Saccharomyces cerevisiae S288C: one gene and its partners. The gene in region 1 interacts genetically with each later gene. Each region holds a gene or a part of one and is shown in the gene's direction. Other genes may lie near its edges.

What was found.
Region 2: mutations in EXG2 (region 1) and MPH3 together harm fitness less than expected from each alone (positive genetic interaction), as found in Saccharomyces cerevisiae (one large-scale study listed by BioGRID).
Region 3: mutations in EXG2 (region 1) and TRM7 together harm fitness more than expected from each alone (negative genetic interaction), as found in Saccharomyces cerevisiae (one large-scale study listed by BioGRID).

What each region holds. Positions count from the first base shown.
Region 1 is NC_001136.10:977,021-981,290, reverse strand, and holds EXG2 (glucan exo-1,3-beta-glucosidase), read left to right. Parts: upstream 1-2,081; coding exon 2,082-3,770; downstream 3,771-4,270. Other genes in the region: SWM1 (Swm1p), read left to right, coding at 4,062-4,270.
Region 2 is NC_001142.9:737,353-741,790, reverse strand, and holds MPH3 (alpha-glucoside permease), read left to right. Parts: upstream 1-1,974; coding exon 1,975-3,783; downstream 3,784-4,438. UniProt on the Saccharomyces cerevisiae protein: High-affinity uptake of maltose and maltotriose. Also transports alpha-methylglucoside, glucose and turanose but not melezitose or trehalose.
Region 3 is NC_001134.8:364,225-367,802, reverse strand, and holds TRM7 (tRNA methyltransferase TRM7), read left to right. Parts: upstream 1-2,083; coding exon 2,084-3,016; downstream 3,017-3,578. Other genes in the region: CNM1 (Cnm1p), read left to right, coding at 1-833; YBR062C (uncharacterized protein), read left to right, coding at 1,203-1,218, 1,301-1,827.

The sequences.
Region 1 (4,270 bases):
GCTTCCACTAATTTAGATGACTATTTCTCATCATTTGCGTCATCTTCTAACACCGTATATGATAATATACTAGTAACGTAAATACTAGTTAGTAGATGATAGTTGATTTTTATTCCAACAAGACGATAGTGGATTTTTATTCCAACAAGTTGCATGTGTGTTTTATTAACGTTTAGATGTGTGTCATAATACTGCATCATACTATCTAATAATATTCAAATTACTTGTAAATTGAGGCAACTTGGCCGAGTGGTTAAGGCGAAAGATTAGAAATCTTTTGGGCTTTGCCCGCGCAGGTTCGAGTCCTGCAGTTGTCGTTTTTACCAAAAATTTTCCTCAATCTTTTTAATTTTACTTTAATAGTACCAGAATGACAATGCGATAAAAAAGAATAATTTGAAAGGGCACAAAAATGGCAAATAGTGCTTGGATCGTGAACTCTAGTCTTTTTTATACCTACGGCTGCCCTTCTGCCTGCAGCATACATTAACTATCAAAGAATTCGGTTGGTCGATGAGCCATAAATCGATGAGAAAAAGTATGCTTTAGTGTTACACGATATTTTACGGACAAACAGAAGGTTTCGATATCGAGGTAACCGCATCACGACTTATCGCATTTCGGAAGTTGCAGCGCACTTTGTAACTGATGGCGAAGAGCAAAGACTATGTGAGTTATTATACTTGCGAAGGAGTTTCACATATATTGTATATTAGCTATTTTCATAACAACAGTCATAATCCTCCGTTCTGCAGTCGTTCAATAAAAAATACGGCTTTCCCCCCTCTTTATTCGTACAGAAAACTTTACGCTCTGGCTTCTTCTGCTCATTTAGCAGACCTTCAGTTCTGACGCACGGCTGATTATCAATGATTGTCAAAGTAGCTGTCGCGACCATGTTCAAGATTTTTTAGAAAGAAAACATAGAGTCAATAAACCTAGAAATAGAACATATCATATGCATATCATACCAATCTTCATGCCAGGTGCACATAAGCAGTATTTTAAGGGGGCTATTTGACGGAGTACCTGAATTGTAACATATAATCTTAGTAGACTAAATTGAAAACATGTAAAAATAACAAAAAAATAAAATAGAGAATACACTGTATACTGAATAAGCAGATTATAGTTAAAATCTAACTAGATAGAAATAAAAAAATGCCAAATAATGTTAGATAAAGCAGAGGTTGAAAGAAAAAAATTATATACAGTCAACTAAGTACATCAACTTTGCTGTGGCAGGAACACAAGTATCATATTTTGTACGTCTCTATGTTCAGTATTTGTCGTTAACTAGTCTGTTGTCTATTATACCTAGTAAATCCTGAATATTTTAAGGTAGTGTCAAGTGATATGTTGACTGTCAGTCCTGGATATACCATATATAACGATATCGATAATGATACAACTCGTTCAGTTATAAGTTATTCATTGCCAATCGAATATGCATAATCTGGTTATGGAGGCCTAATTAAATCAAGTATCTCAAGATATAGAGATTCCCCAAGATCACCAGACAAAGTGAAAAAGGTCCTAAAACGATAATGTTAACCTGTGATACTACAAACAAATATCCAGTTTCGCCAATCCTATTATCCTCGGGTACATGTCTATTAATCATTTAATTTATAGATTTACTAAAAGCAGTTATGTCATAACGTGATTTTTACAATATTCACTTCGTAGTAGTGAAATATGCACATGAAATTGTATTGGGATACATTTCGATTCACTTTTTGACTGATAATCTGCACAATTAATGCCCAAATTTTATCATTATTTTCAAACCACTAAAACTACGTGAAATTGCCATTTAAAAATAATGTGTGCGTTTATTTTGAAACATCACAAGGTCAGGGACGCTGCAAAAATGTGTCCCTTTAATTCTATTTACGGACAGAGTTCAAGAAATAAGTCCCGCGAAAAAAGAAGAAAATAAACAATACAATGAAAAACGCAAATTCTCGAGAATACGTCGTCGCCTATATAAATTTGAAAACTCTTTTCCTTGGCTGAGATTTTAGCGCGTTCTATAGAATAGTCAATTGTAGACCGTTCGTTACTTGGGACGTCCTAATATGCCTTTGAAGTCGTTTTTTTTTTCAGCATTTCTAGTTTTATGCCTGTCTAAATTCACGCAAGGCGTTGGCACCACAGAGAAGGAAGAATCGTTATCGCCTTTGGAACTAAATATTTTACAAAACAAATTCGCCTCCTACTATGCAAACGACACTATCACCGTGAAAGGTATTACTATTGGCGGCTGGCTAGTAACAGAACCTTATATCACGCCATCATTATATCGTAATGCTACGTCACTGGCAAAACAGCAAAACTCTTCCAGCAATATCTCCATTGTCGACGAATTTACTCTTTGTAAAACCTTAGGATATAACACCTCTCTAACTTTATTGGATAATCACTTCAAAACTTGGATTACAGAGGATGATTTTGAACAAATCAAAACCAACGGTTTCAATTTAGTTAGGATCCCCATCGGATATTGGGCGTGGAAACAAAATACTGATAAAAACTTGTACATCGATAACATAACTTTCAATGATCCATACGTAAGTGATGGATTACAACTGAAATATTTAAATAATGCTCTCGAATGGGCGCAAAAGTACGAACTAAATGTATGGTTAGATCTACATGGTGCTCCTGGATCCCAGAATGGATTCGATAATTCCGGTGAAAGAATACTCTATGGCGATTTAGGCTGGTTAAGGTTGAATAATACTAAAGAACTGACTCTGGCTATTTGGAGAGATATGTTCCAGACATTTTTAAATAAAGGTGACAAAAGTCCTGTGGTGGGTATTCAAATCGTCAACGAACCGCTTGGTGGCAAAATCGATGTTTCAGACATAACGGAGATGTATTACGAAGCATTTGACTTGCTCAAGAAAAATCAGAATTCGAGTGACAACACTACGTTTGTTATTCATGACGGTTTTCAAGGAATCGGTCACTGGAACTTGGAGCTAAACCCAACCTACCAGAATGTATCGCATCATTATTTCAATTTGACTGGTGCAAATTACAGCTCTCAAGATATATTGGTCGACCATCATCATTATGAAGTGTTTACTGATGCGCAATTGGCCGAAACTCAGTTTGCACGTATTGAAAACATTATCAATTATGGGGACTCTATCCACAAAGAACTTTCTTTTCACCCAGCAGTAGTCGGAGAATGGTCAGGCGCTATTACTGATTGTGCAACCTGGCTAAATGGTGTTGGGGTGGGTGCACGTTACGATGGATCATACTACAATACAACGTTGTTTACCACCAACGACAAGCCAGTTGGAACATGTATATCCCAAAATAGCTTAGCTGATTGGACGCAAGATTACCGTGACCGTGTGAGACAATTCATTGAGGCACAGCTAGCCACTTATTCGTCAAAAACAACGGGATGGATTTTTTGGAATTGGAAGACCGAAGACGCCGTAGAATGGGATTATTTGAAGCTAAAAGAAGCTAACCTTTTCCCTTCCCCTTTCGACAACTACACGTACTTCAAAGCAGATGGATCTATCGAAGAAAAATTCTCATCCTCTTTATCAGCACAGGCATTTCCAAGAACAACGTCATCGGTTTTGTCCTCCACTACGACTTCCAGGAAGAGTAAGAATGCTGCAATTTCTAATAAACTAACAACTTCGCAGCTATTACCAATCAAAAATATGAGTTTGACCTGGAAAGCGAGCGTATGCGCACTCGCTATCACCATTGCCGCTCTTTGCGCTTCTCTTTAAAGTAAACGGCAACAGTGTGGTGCGTTTAATGGTGCTAATTATATATACACTTTTCATTATATTATTATAGATACTCAGAACGTAGGCACTATGTAGAAAAGCACCCAAAGTTCGAAATATCATATGATATACTTCTATGCATGTCGTAGAAAAAGACAACAATCTGAATTGCAACCTCAAAAAAAAAAATCTTAGTACTACATCATATTTGTGCCGTGGCCTAGCTGTATCGTGAGAGAAGGGAGAATAATATCAGAGAAGTGGGGTGAGCAAAGTATAACAACCACGATTATGAGTTCAAGTTCTTATAGGGATTCATATTTTCAATACCGCCATTTACCAGCACCACATCACATATTATATGCGGAATGGAATCAAGATATACTGGCGCTTCCGGACGAAGTGGCAAATATTACAATGGCTATGAAAGATAATACTCGCACCGACGCGGAGGAGGGAAGAGCTCCCCAAGATGGGGAAAGGAATTCTAATGTACGCGA
Region 2 (4,438 bases), on another chromosome or scaffold:
GAAACCGTTATAATAGAAGTTTTCTACTACAAAATTTACAGGATGTTGTAGCTTGATTGCATAATATTTTTTTAAAACGGATAACCACCAACCCTCGTCAGTGACTTCCCATTATGAAAATTTTCTCTTCTAATCCTTTTTGGTACCCTTTTTCCTATCATGCGCCTCGAAACAACTTCCATAGTACGTGCCTGCTACTGTGAGTAGTTTACTGCCGCAGTCAAACACTATACTGATTCAGCATCCATCAGTAAGTGCGCGCTAAAACGACAACTTTTTCGTACCTTTACAAGTAAGGAGTGGTTAAGGTGTATAGCTCATACTAGATATTAAACTTCGGAGAAAAGTCCCTGTTTCAATGACAAATATGAGTTGCACAATAGAATTTTTATATCTATGATTACGCTTGGTAGGATGAAACTCTTAAATTCCGTTATAAGTTTTATAAATCGCCGTAATTGCAAAAATACAGGGTGATGCGTATAAGTCTCATAAAAATCAAATCATTCCCTCTATTGCAACCATATCAAATTTTGATGATGATTATTTTACAATTTTCATTGCCATGGATGAAAATAAACGCTGATATCTTTATAATTAACCCGGAATGGAAATTGTGCACAGTACATCAATGGCGTTTCGAGTATTAAGACCTGTGATTTAGAGCCAATTAGCCAAGTAAAGCGACATTTCCTTTCTATGTTTGGCATCTTTTTTTTTTGGCCTTAAAACAGTGTTTCTATAAAATTAAGGGCCAACTCTTACAATAGTAATGAGATTAATAAGGCCCAAAGAATATTTTGGCCATTTCTTTTTCGTACAACCATATAGTTTTCTCAAGTAGCGACGAAAGAGAGATAACTGAAACAAAATGTCATGGAAGAAGTGCTTATATTAAAAAATCTATGTCGGAAATATTTCTATAGGGAAAAGTATACTAAAATCTTACTCGAGCTTTGAAATGAACAAGCCTAAACCGCCCAATTCCAAGATCTTTAATATACTATAACTTGAAAGTCATACCTGTTATATCACTCCAGAGGTTATTGTGGGAGCATATTTAATGCTTTGTGGGTAAGCTTGATAAACTGTAGTTCTACCACTTTTCCCAGGATACTGATTATGGTAAAAGTTCTTATTTGTCTTACGACTTAGATTTAGCACTCACATTTGTCATCATATGTTGAAAAATCAAGCTGGAATTTATTGGTGGATCTTTCATCTCCATTTATACTTTTTACTTGTTTTTCTCCAAGCAAAAAGATTTCACGTTGTTCGGGAGGTAAATATGAAGTAGGAGAGCAGTCAGGTAGAGTGGTTATCCCATCAGCCAGAACCTGTCCGTAAACAGGTTGTGGACTACAGTATGTGTGTTTTTTTCTTTCTAATTACTCAATTTGGATATTTTGGTGACTATAAAGACCTCTCGTAAATTTCTGAAAATATGCTTCGGTTCGAATCTGTGGTCTGCAGTGCAGCGTGTTGGTATTTTACCGACAGTTTTAGCGAAATATGTATAGATCTGTCACGCTTGCAACATCGCGACAGGTCGATATACTAAAATTACAGCATGAATTTCTGATCTATAATCACACTGTTGCAGTTTCCAGAGAGTCAATCATATTAAGTCCTCAGTTTGAATCAATGTTGGCTTTGTTCTTCTGGAGAGGAATCAGCTCGTTATATGTTTGTCTTTTTCTCTGCTCGAGAGTCATCGCGACATTCCACACCCCGCGTTTTACGTGCACAGAATCTTTCGTAGAAGGGAGCATTTGACATCCTGTCAGCCATATGCAATGAGTATGCCACAAGTTCATGATAGTGTTGACTATAGAATATAAAAAAAAGGTGGGGTCATCTGTAATCGTTGTTTGTAATTCTTAGAGGCCTGTTCTTGGAATTATTATGCAAAGATTACCATCACAAAATCTAACACAAATAGAGATACAGGTCTTGTAAAGCCATTACCTAGCTATGAAAAACTTATCTTTTCTCATAAACAGAAGAAAGGAAAATACAAGTGACTCGAATGTATACCCAGGAAAGGCTAAGTCGCATGAACCCAGCTGGATAGAAATGGATGATCAAACTAAGAAGGACGGCTTAGATATTGTTCATGTTGAGTTCAGTCCGGATACAAGAGCGCCAAGCGATAGCAATAAAGTAATAACAGAGATATTTGACGCTACTGAGGATGCCAAGGAGGCAGACGAAAGTGAAAGAGGAATGCCACTTGCGACAGCATTGAATACATATCCCAAGGCAGCAGCTTGGTCACTATTGGTCTCTACAACTTTAATCATGGAAGGGTACGACACAGCTATTCTTGGAGCTTTCTACGCCTTGCCTATTTTTCAGAGAAAGTTTGGCTCACAAAATGACAAAACTGGAGAATGGGAAATTTCAGCGTCATGGCAAATCGGGCTGACCTTATGTTATATGGCAGGTGAAATTGTGGGGCTACAGCTAACGGGGCCCTCCGTGGATCTTGTTGGAAATCGTTACACATTGATTATTGCATTGTTTTTTTTAGCTGCCTTCACTTTTATACTGTACTTTTGCAATAGTTTAGGCATGATTGCTGTGGGACAAGCATTGTGCGGGATGCCATGGGGTTGTTTTCAGTGTTTGACGGTGTCTTACGCTTCTGAAATATGCCCATTGGCTCTGAGATATTACCTTACAACCTATTCAAACTTGTGCTGGTTATTTGGACAACTTTTTGCAGCTGGAATCATGAAAAATTCTCAAAAAAAATATGCGGATTCAGAATTAGGATATAAACTACCATTTGCCCTACAGTGGATTTTGCCAGTTCCTTTAGCACTGGGAATTTTTTTTGCACCTGAATCTCCATGGTGGCTAGTTAAAAAAGGAAGGTTTGATGAGGCAAGGAGATCACTTAGAAGAACTTTAAGCGGCAAGGGACCTGAAAAAGAAATACTAGTAACTCTGGAGGTGGACAAAATAAAAGTGACTATAGATAAGGAAAAGAGACTCACAAGTAAAGAAGGCTCCTATAGTGATTGTTTTGAAGACAAGATTAATCGAAGAAGAACGAGAATTACTTGTCTCTGCTGGGCTGGTCAAGCCACTTGTGGTTCAATACTAATAGGTTATTCAACTTACTTTTACGAAAAGGCTGGCGTTAGTACTGAAATGTCCTTCACTTTTAGTATTATTCAATACTGTCTCGGTATTTGTGCTACATTTCTATCTTGGTGGGCGTCAAAGTATTTTGGTAGATATGACCTTTACGCTTTTGGACTAGCCTTCCAAACCATTGTTTTTTTCATTATTGGCGGTTTGGGGTGCTCAAGTACGCACGGTTCCAAAATGGGAAGTGGTTCTCTTTTAATGGCTGTAGCATTTTTTTACAATTTAGGAATTGCCCCGGTCGTTTTTTGCCTAGTCTCTGAAATGCCATCTTCAAGACTAAGAACGAAAACAATCATTCTAGCACGTAACACTTATAATGTGGTCAGTATCATATGTAGCGTTCTCATCTTATACCAACTGAACTCTAAGAAGTGGAACTGGGGCGCTAAGTCAGGCTTTTTCTGGGGTGTCTTATGCTTTTGTACTTTAATCTGGGCTGTGGTTGACCTACCAGAAACTGCCGGAAAGACTTTCGTGGAAATAAATGAGTTATTTAAACTTGGAGTTTCTGCAAGAAAGTTCAAATCGACGAAAGTAGATCCGTTTGTTGTCAAAACCCCCCCTAAAGACGTCTCTCATAACGACCCCAAGGGAGATATCGAAGCTTCCATTGCAGAGGAATAGCAATGTATCCCATCACTTATGAGCTAATGAACATTTATCGACACAGGTAAATAGGTAACTATGGTATTTACTCTACATGTTACGGAGTATAATACACGTAGATTTGTTTCTTCCTCATATTCCCATGACATGTCTCAGTAATTGAACTCAAAGTAACATTTAGCTTTCTTCTTGATCATTGCGTTTGGAAATGTATAGTTAGAGAAAAGATTCTTTCTCATCCGAGTATGGCGCGTGAAGAAAATGAAGATGGAGTTGTCGAAACAAATGGTCATCGACATTAGTTTAATTGTCATAGTAACAGTCTGGGCACTCACTTCGTACATCCCTTATACATTTAAGTGCAATTTTACCTATTCTAAAAATAGAAAAAATCTCGAATGAGCAGTTCTGGCAGTACTGAAACTGAGTTAAAAATCTATCAACTGGAAGTAATGCGGTAGTTTTATATATGAGCAATATATGCCGTCAAATTATATGTACAGTAGCTACCAGAGCGGTTATTATATTGTTCTTAATCAATAATAAACAAATCAGAGTATATTTCATAATTTCCTCTTACATTTTTAAGAAAAAAGGGTAACATTTATTCCTCATTGATCCTATCTTTCAATCCTAATAAGCGACAATATTCTTAGCATATACGGGAGAGTTG
Region 3 (3,578 bases), on another chromosome or scaffold:
TAGATGATTGTAGGTTCAAGACTGGTGATACCATATCCATTGTAATAAACTTTAATGAAGACTGCCTCAATAATCGAAGTGACGTTACCGAAGAGAGAAATTATGAGGAATCCACAGTTTTACATTCAAAGGAGTCAGTTCTCAGCATTGGTAGGCAAAATATGGTAACTTTGAACCAAAGCGATGAAAATTTCACCTATGGCAATTTTGATGAGTACGACTTATTAACTAAAGATTATACAACAGAGGTCTTAACGCGATCACCTGGCTCGAATCCCGAGTTTAAAGCAGTGGTAAATAATACATTACTTGATAGCGCGAATGAAACGCCGTTTAAAGGTATTGAAAAAAGTATTAACGAAACAATGGTTAAAGTTCCTATGGGATGCGATGTATCTCTCTCCCATTATGGCAGACAATACGCGCCTGGAAATATTTCAATTATGAGAAGCTTCACTGCTCGAGATAATACTAAATCTGTGAGTAGAGAAATTCGTGATATCTGTAAATCGTTTTTGATTATAAAAAGCCAATTTGGTGACGAACTTTTCCTGACTATGTTCATGGAAAAACCAGTTTTCTTTGATAACAACATCCCAATTGAAATAACTGGAGCATACCGAGAAAAACGAGAGCGATTAGATGAAGTGATTCATAAGGATCTTATCCGCTATGATGAAGTTCAAAATTTGACAAGGATTCGCAATTTGCTCCGGGTTAAAAGTCAAAAGATTTGTTCCAGGAGACATAATAGTTCGGTTCCCACAAAAAAATTGTTAGTTAATGATAAAGGCGCAACTTCGATTCTACTGTGGTACTCTAACTATTCATAGATAAAGTTTATTTGATACATAATCCGGAAAATGTAAGATATGCCAACTGTTAACTAGAAAACATCTGTACTCTATATATCGGAAACAAAAACTTTACGGGTACAACCATGATGAATAAGCTCGAAATTTTTGCCTTCCATATGAGTCCCATTTTGGTGACCAACTCTCCTACCCGAATTACTGTGATGATATATACTCTTCGTTTTCTAGTAATGGCTTCATTTTGCCTAAGTTGGTCAAAATTGTTGTGGGCGGCTTTTGTTTGCACCGAGGAGCGCTCAGTTCGTTATAATACCAGTTTTGCCACTCCTAAACTACTAAAGAAATAATAGAAAGATATATTCATCAAACATAATCACAATCAAAAAAATGTCTACATATGAAGGTATGTAATGATATATTATGAAGTAAGTTCCCCAAAGCCAATTAACTAACCGAATTTTAATCTGCACTCATCATTAGATTAGAGGAACATGGAATACAACAAAACTCAAGGGATTACCAAGAAGTAGGAGGAACTTCACAGGAGGAGCAGAGAAGACAGGTCAGATCCCAACTGCAAGGTCTATTTCAAAACTTTGGTAACACCAGTGGTGAGGGTGATGCACATTCAGATTCAACACTACTTTTACGATTATTATCGCAAATGCTTCCAGAATCATTACAGGAAGAATGGTTGCAAGAAATGGATAAAGGCAAGAGTGCGGGCTGTCCTGATACTTTTGCAGCCTCTTTACCACGAATCAATAAAAAAAAGCTCAAAGCAACTGACAACTGCTCCATTTGTTACACTAATTATTTAGAAGATGAGTACCCCTTAGTAGTTGAATTACCTCATTGCCATCATAAGTTCGACTTAGAGTGTTTGTCTGTCTGGCTATCTCGAAGTACAACATGTCCATTATGCAGAGATAATGTTATGGGCCACCGAATCATTAATGAGATTGATACAACTGAAGCAGAACTGGAAGAAGATTGGGGTATGTACGGTTAATATCTTTCTTTTATATTATATAAAGACACCAAACCTAAGTAGAATAGGTAACTACGTCTTCTTTCACAGAAGACAGACCTACAAGTATTTTGATTATCATGATGAAGTAAAAGCAACGATAAACTTTTTACTAGGTATTATTATTCTGCGCTAACAATAATTATCGCGAGTTGAAAATTTTCAAGCGATGCTCCTAACATTACTGTAAAACAACAGTAGATGAGTACAAGGCAAGCTTAAAAAGAAAGTATTCAAGATGGGTAAGAGCAGCAAAGATAAAAGAGATTTGTACTATAGAAAAGCAAAAGAGCAGGGCTATAGGGCTAGATCTGCTTTCAAACTACTTCAACTCAATGACCAATTTCATTTCCTGGATGATCCAAACTTAAAAAGAGTTGTAGATTTGTGTGCAGCACCAGGTTCATGGTCACAAGTGCTCTCGAGAAAACTGTTTGATGAAAGTCCCAGTTCAGATAAGGAGGACAGGAAAATTGTCTCTGTCGATTTACAACCGATGTCCCCCATACCTCATGTGACAACGTTGCAAGCCGATATCACTCATCCTAAAACATTGGCGAGGATTCTAAAACTGTTTGGCAACGAAAAGGCCGATTTTGTTTGTAGTGATGGTGCACCTGATGTTACTGGGTTACACGATCTTGACGAATACGTGCAACAACAGTTAATTATGAGTGCGCTGCAACTTACTGCATGCATTCTGAAAAAAGGTGGAACTTTTGTGGCAAAGATCTTCAGAGGTCGTGATATAGATATGCTATATTCCCAATTGGGCTATCTATTCGATAAAATCGTTTGCGCAAAGCCAAGATCATCAAGAGGTACATCTCTGGAAGCTTTTATTGTTTGTTTAGGCTATAACCCACCATCCAATTGGACACCAAAATTAGATGTAAATACATCCGTTGATGAATTTTTTCAAGGCTGTTTTTTGAATAAATTGTGTATATCAGACAAATTGTCTCATTGGAATGAAGAGGAGAGAAACATAGCCGAATTTATGGCTTGTGGAAGTCTTCAAAGTTTCGACTCAGATGCCACTTATCATGACCTACCTTCTTCGGTTGCAGGCACTTCATCGTCCTTAGATCCTGTTCAAAGCCCGACGAACCCTCCCTACAAGAAAGCTTTGGAATTAAAAAGGAGCGGGAAACTCACTAGATCAGTTTGATTGCAATATTACTACCTCTAATCAAACAATTAAATAAGTCACTACATTATAAGATTATCTACAAAATCAACTTTTCCTTGCAATCATTAAAAACGATATAGGTTACGGTTATGTAGAATATCCATTGTATAATATAAAAGAAAATGAAACAGTAATTATATTATATTATATTACATGCAAGCATTGAGGAGTATGGCAATCATTTTTCTTCTTTTTTACTTCACCTCGTCTCTTAAAACATCTGCTTTCGAATTTGCGAGTAATAGAACTTTCGAATTGTGACAGAACCATTGAGAACATGGTGAATCTGTCAATATTACAACCCAAAAGCCGGTTGGTGGTAAACCGTAGTACGGAGCATTACAAAGGATTCCATCGTATAAATTATGCATAAGCATCACCTTGATCCATTTGCCTTGCTCCTATTGCCCTGCTTGTTTGTAGGAAAGCCCCTTTTGGTCAAACGAATTGTTCAGTTCGGGTTTACGCATTACATATCTCCTTTTTAGATACAAAAACCTCGAAACGCTCACATAAACCCGGTTGTTCTTTTGAGTACCTG